2 linked regions of the Kluyveromyces lactis genome follow. The protein of the gene in region 1 interacts with the protein of each later gene in a pairwise test. Links are inferred from orthologs where the notes say so. Each region holds a gene or a part of one and is shown on either strand. Other genes may lie near its edges. The genes, in order: APL4 and APS1.

Region 1 (4,512 bases):
GATAGTAGGTAAAAATATGTTATCACCGGAAGTGGCAACGTGGAAGGTAACACCATTCTTCGAAGAAAGAAGTCTTGGTCTTAATAATCCACGGTCAGCCAAGTAATTTAGCAAACACGTTTTGGCAGTTTTTTTCCTGTTCACGACGGTGTTGCTGATCTGCGAACCAGTCGCACTGAAAGCGGTCGATACCCTTGTAATCCTCCTGCCCAAACAATTCTCCTCAAAGTCATCATCATCACCTTCATCATCTCCATCGTTTTCATTGTCTGGACCGTCATATTCATCATCATCTTCATCATCGCTTACCACAGAGAAAGGTCCACCACGTTCGTCATCATTAGACATTCTACGATTAGGCTGACTCTGAAATCTGCTCGGTTGTAAAGATGATGTGTAGATGTCATTGCCTAGGTCTCCATCAGAATCGTTGCCTCCAAGGCTATAATCCAACAGACTGCTATCTCCTTGATCCTCGTCAATTTCGTTATCAGTTCCTTCTTCCGAAGACATCGCTAATTCGTTCTGTGGGGCTCCGTAATCTTGATATCCATAGATAGAATACGGCGTTCCAAAGGCCATCATCGGACTGAATCCTGCAGGCATAGCAGAAGTGCCATATGCGCCACTGGGCCGTCTGGAAGATGCCCTACGAGCGCTATTAGAGCTTGGTACACTTGCGGAACGTCCATTACTGTTTGACCTTGAAAGGGTAGAACCACTACTTTTTGACCCGCTAGCTCCTAAGATGGATGCAAATGCTTGCTTGATTGACGAAGATCTTTTCCTATTCCCATCCTTCTGCTTTCCAGAGGACGACCCCAGATGTGAACTGAAAAATGACATTATCTTCCAACCGTCGTGGACCTGTAAAATCTCAGCTTATCTCTCAAAAGGGTTTGGTTACTTACCTTGGATGCAAAAAGAACCAAATGATCAATAAATAAATAACTTTAAAAGTGACCAAAGTGTGAAGTTCTTGTTTAGGAAAAACCACAATACTATATGTATTCGCTAACCCACTAAGCTGAATAGATTAGACTTTGCTCTCCCTGCTGAAACATCGGATTATATTTATGTTAATCATCAGCCTACTTAGTTGGTATGAACTATTTACATTTCAGATTTGAAGGGTTCTTTTTCATTAAAAACTTCCTTGGGCCCAGAAATCAGGTTTGGGGGCCATAAATAATTTCCATGATTTCGAAATCTGGAAAGGACAGTTCTATAAACAAGAATAGCTATAAATACATGTAACGTATACTGGGCTTGACAACTGAGAACAGCGTACACGGTATCTGTAACTTTTGCAATTAACGCTGGGAGTGTGCGTGCGTGTGGTGTTTTCAACTATAAGTTGTATATAGGTGCGCAAAGAGCTTTAGCAATTTTTTGTTTGTTGGGAAACATAAGTAGAAACAATGGGTTCATTGAGGACTTTCATTAAGGAAGTCAGGGCCGCGAAAACGTTGGCTGAAGAAAGGTCAATCGTTACCAAGGAATCAGCAAGGATCAGGACCAAGTTGAAGGATGATCATATTTCACTGGAAAGGAGAAGGAAGTACATTAACAAGCTGTTATATTTGTATATCTTGGGAGAAAAGACACATTTTGCCCAGGTAGAGTGTATAAACTTAATTGCTTCTGAAGACTTCGCCGATAAGAGAGTTGGATATCTTGCTGCAGTTTTGTTATTGGATGAGAATCAGGAATTGTTGACTCTTTTGACCAATCTTTTGAATAACGATTTGAATCATCCATCGAGATATGTGGTTTCGTTAGCAATCAACGCATTGGGCGCTTTGACTTCTCCAGAGTTGGCTCGTGATTTGTATACCGATATCAAAAATATTCTAGAGCATTCCAGGGACAGTTTTCTGATCAAAAAGGCGTTGGCATGCTCTGGAAAACTTATTGCGAGGGATCCATCCCTTTTGGAAATTTTCGCTCCTTACGCTAACAAGATGCTTTCGAGTAAAGAATCTACTAGCCATGGTGTTCTAATTGGTACCAACAAATTGATCCAGGCAATCATCATCAATACCAAATCGTACGAATTTGATAATCTACCAGAGATCATTGATAAACTATCCTCCTTGATACCTGATCTCTTAGGAAAACTACACCATTTGAATTTAGGATCGTCCAACCCAGAATATAACGTTGGCGGTTGTCTCGATCCATTTTTACAAGTCGAACTCATGACTACATTACGTTTGTTCTTGCAGTACTTCCCTGAGCAAACTAAGCCTTACAAGAATAACTACTTGGATACATTGACCCGAGTTGCAACTTACACTCCAACTACTTCGAATAGTTGTACTTCAGTCTTATACGAGGCAGTGCGCACTATTTTTTCATTCCAAGCAGAGCGCTCCTTGAGAGTACTAGGTGTCAACGTGTTGGGTAATCTAGTTGCAGACAAGGATTACAACACAAAATATGTTTCATTAAACGCATTGTTAGATGTTGTTTCGGTAGAGCCACAGGCGGTCCAAAGGCATAGAAAGTTTATCTCACGTTGTATCTTTGATTCTGATATTTCAATCAAAAAGAGGGCTCTTGAGATGACGTTCGCAATTTTAAACCAAACAAATATGAGGGAATTGATCGCAGAGATTCTTACGTTCTTAGAAAAAGCAGGAGAAAACGATAAAGGACTAATATTGTACTGTGTAGATCAACTTATAATGGTTTTCGATCTTCAAGATGAAATAGATGATTCCTGGAAACTGGATGTCATAGTTAAAATATTGAAATTTGTTGGCCAATATATTTCAGTTGAGAAGACTACTGATGCATTAATTATGATTAACAATAATTCGAACCTGGAACATAAGAAGCAAGTGGTTTCTAACATTATCAACGTAGCATTGGATAATGACTCTAGCCAAGTCTCAGACGAAAATTTAGCATGGAGAGTTGTCTCGATTTGGTGCATCGGTGAATACGCTGATCTGATTTTAGGTAATGGCAGATGCACAGAAACAAATTTAACAGGTTACTTATATGAATCCGATAGCTTGTACTGTGATAACCCTATGGTAACAAGCTATGTTTTGCTGGCTGCTTTGAAGCTATCTGTAAAGATTGATACAAAAGTGCTATCCAATAGATTGAGGCAGTTAATTAAAGGCCACACGGAAAACACCAACGTCATGATTCAAACAAAGGCTGTCCAGTATGGAATATTATTCAATGAGTCTACAAGTGTTAAAGCTGCGTTACTTGAACCAATGCCCATTTTCCATAAAAAGGTCTCAGAGACTGCTGCATTAAGAACCTTCTCTCAGAAAGTACCTGCACCAGCTATTAAGAAAGTGAAAAAGAAGGAAAATGATCTTCTTCTAGATTTACTAGGAGATCTCTCTACTCCAGAAACTACTGCGCCTACAAAACCTTCTAATGATCTATTATCTAACTTGAGCAATACTCCAGCACCCCAATCATCAAATCAAAATGGGTCAACTTTATCATCATCCTTCCAACAACGCATAGAAATACCACCAAACTCTATCAATATCCACTCATCTGATATTGTTGAAGTTTATGGTAAAGTAGAATCGTCAATCCCCGGTTGTACTGAAATAGACCTATTCTTGAAAGCTAAAACGAATATTAATACCTTACAGATCCTAATCGCTGTTCCTAAATCACAGAAGGCAGAATTCGGATCTCTGTCAAGCCACAAGGTAGCTACAGGTGAAGTAGCTAAGCAGGGTCTTAAAATTCTAGGATCTGGGAAAATCAAGCTAAGGGTCAAATTGAATATCAACTCCACCGAGGATCAATTCGATTATAAATTTGAAAACATCCCCCATTAACGAGCGTTAAAGATGCCTTAAAGTAATATTGTGTAAACTATAAAACGATATAACAATCACATCATGTAGATAAGGGATCTATGTCGATAAACACCGGTACGAGTTCACATTTCCGCAATCAAATAAGCGAACTCAAAAGAAAATTGGACCAGAGGGTGATTTTTCAACTAAGAAGAATTTAACGGGAGTATCCAGAAGCCTTAGCGTTGTTGGCAGCAGCTTCGACTTTCTGGGCCAGTTCTCCCGATTTCCCTTCCACGATAGGTAGGTATTTGTCAGAGAATGGTGAAATCAACCTCGTGTAAACAAGTTGGGCACCGCCGAATGATGGAATGGCAATGTACAGTAAGAAAACAGTCTTAAAGAACCAGTAGAATGGAACCCAGTACAAAATAGCCTTGGACCAGAACTCGATCACAGACAAAAACGAAAAAACAATCCAATAAGTTAACAATTGTGTGTCATCCGTTGATGTGGCAGTCTTCAATGCTTTCAAAGAATAGTATGTTGGAATACAGAATCCAACAAAGTTGGATAAAATCTCACCAATTCCACCAACATTGATAAAAATTAAGAGAAAGTAAACAGCAACAAGACCAACGATAACATATGATCTTGGCAATTTTGTTTGAGCTTCAATACGAGACAAAATTTGATTACCAGCGAATTTCTAAGTTAGAATTGGTTA
Region 2 (2,434 bases), on another chromosome or scaffold:
ACCAGAACTTACATCGGGTTCATTGTTACTTTCCGACGGTGTGCATAATTTGGCTACGACTTTTATTTTGCATACATCTACGCACCAATTTGCAGCAAAAAGCTATATGAAGAAAGATCAGGCAGGGGAAAGAAAGCGCATCGCATTCTGTGGCGTGGGTATATAATAAATAAATAACTGGATCGTTTTTGGTGAAATAGATCTATCTCAGACAAGCCAACATTGTTCCGAAGTATTGACCAAAGCAGAATATATAGTGATTCAAGAGATTGCTACGAACTATAGAAGGGGTTTTAACTAGAAAGAAAGTAATGACGCTAATAAAGATGTTTGCAGCTAGACAAGCCATAGGAAGATTTGCATTGATACAGAACAGAAACTTTCATGCTACGCCGATGAGATGTTATAAAAAATGGAATGAACTAAAGAAGGATGATAAGCAGGAGTTCATCAAGAATTTCGTTCTTTTGTACAAAGAAAAGCATCCATGCAGTAAGAGTAACGTAATGTACAGGGCGTTGGCCAGTGAAATGGATGAATACGATGATACCCCATACGTATTTGGTGTTTTGTACAATGAGATTAGGGCTGTTGAAAAAGGCGAATCTACTGATAACGAGAAAGGTGTAGGTGCGATGGGGGATGCAGATTTTGTAAAACTATTGTACAAGTAGAATTGTTGAGTTTCCGTACATAAAGAAAGAAAGGATAATATATTGTACATATTCACAATTTAATTTAAATTTCTATTCATCTCGGTCAGTATCACGTCAATTGCTTGAATGCATGCATTCTCAACTCAATACCCTATCAAGGTCATCATTTGATTCAATTGCATCCATGGCCTCCACAACATGTATAACTTCATCTTTACTAGTTTCTATTATAGATCCGTCACACATTATCATTTCATCCAATATGCTGTATGCCTTGCTAAAATTGAATATGATATCTAACTCGCAGACGTTCCCAAAATATCTATCCATAGTTTCCACAAATCTGTGTATAATTTCTAAAGTCAACAATTCGTTGTCCGAATCCAAATCAATCCCTGCAATGAAGTATAAACTGGCATATTTCTTGTACACGACTTTGTGATCTTGATATTCTAGAATATTGCACATTTTTGACTTCCTGGACAGTACGTTAGTCGTCACTTCCCTTAGTATTTTATGCTTGTACTTTATATCGAAGGGTTGATACCATCTGATTAACCTAGTCTTGCCTTGCCTCGACGTGAGAAGCATGTACTTAATCTGTGACATTTCAATGACCTTTTTTGTTTATAACGAATAGGATAGCTTTTGTCTCTTAAGCTCGGTGGTTGTGGTATTTAATGCCCTTGTTAATCGTTTATCCGTAGTTTCTCGGATACACCAATTGAAAAGTTGTAGAGCTGAATAATAACCTTAATTTTAAAACATCAACTGGGACAGAATTAGACTTAAACTTTGATTCTAGTGACCTGTTATTCTTTGTTTGTTTTCTTTTGCTTACATGCTGATTCATTCGATTCAGTTACGTTATTACATTCATGTTATATTAATAGTTAATATAACGAAAAATGAGAATCACCGCAGACGACTTTGCATGAAGCTGAAGAAGCGGATACACAAAGGATACATGCAATATATAATTTACATATCCATGACCTGGCCTAATCTTCATCTTCTGGAGGTGGAACCCATGCTGGTGGTTTGAAATATTCTTGATCACTGGCGACATCTTGCTTGAATTTTTCTCTATCGTCACAGAATTCGAGCAAATACTCGATTTCCAATTCATGGGTTTGCCTACCGAGTATAACTAAAGAATGCAATGGTTCACCAGAATCATATTCGGCTAGCTCTTTGATGGTACCTGCTTTGAAGGTTTGGCTTGCAGAACCTAGTCTTGAGATTGCTACACAGGGAGTATCAGGAGTATATGCCTCAGTGCCTCTTGTTTCTTCAATTTCCAATAGTTGTTCACAACATTGTGCAATACTCATGTATCTTGGAGGCTCATAAATGAGTCTTCCACGAGCCATATTCTCTATACTCTGTTCCTTCACTTTGATATCTAGAAGAACCAAGGTGTGCAACCCGATTTTCCGGTTTTCCCATATCTTGTCGTACCAGGAATCTGGTCTCCAACTATCGGTGAAAAAGACCATAGAGATCGTTTGACCAAAATTGTATAGTTGCAACCCACATGATCCTACTGCATTCATAACAGACGCGTTATGGATGACTTCTACTGGAATATTCCTTTGCTTGGCACGCAACACCAAGTCAGTATGAGTGGTGGCTCCAAAAACGTCACCGACAACCAAAAACGCAACATCTTCTTTATCGGCATCACGGAGAAGTTCTTCAGCTCCCGATTCGACAAGTTCCCTGTCAGCTAGTGTAACTTTCTTGCCATAAAATTCCTCTAGTTCTTCTAGAGAAGC

The links.
Region 2: the proteins of APL4 (region 1) and APS1 interact in binary tests that used the Saccharomyces cerevisiae proteins (3 or more experiments, as listed by UniProt). The link is inferred for Kluyveromyces lactis from reciprocal best matches to the Saccharomyces cerevisiae genes APL4 and APS1.

What each region holds. Positions count from the first base shown.
Region 1 is NC_006041.1:592,940-597,451, forward strand, and holds APL4 (AP-1 complex subunit gamma), read left to right. Parts: upstream 1-1,421; coding exon 1,422-3,824; downstream 3,825-4,512. Other genes in the region: ECM21 (Ecm21p), read right to left, coding at 1-846; YOP1 (Yop1p), read right to left, coding at 4,003-4,494. UniProt on the Saccharomyces cerevisiae protein: Adaptins are components of the adapter complexes which link clathrin to receptors in coated vesicles. Clathrin-associated protein complexes are believed to interact with the cytoplasmic tails of membrane proteins, leading to their selection and concentration.
Region 2 is NC_006042.1:2,118,472-2,120,905, forward strand, and holds APS1 (Aps1p), read right to left. Parts: upstream 1,266-2,434; coding exon 795-1,265; downstream 1-794. Other genes in the region: KLLA0_F22792g (uncharacterized protein), read left to right, coding at 312-674; DPH5 (diphthine synthase), read right to left, coding at 1,658-2,434. UniProt on the Saccharomyces cerevisiae protein: Component of the adapter complexes which link clathrin to receptors in coated vesicles. Clathrin-associated protein complexes are believed to interact with the cytoplasmic tails of membrane proteins, leading to their selection and concentration.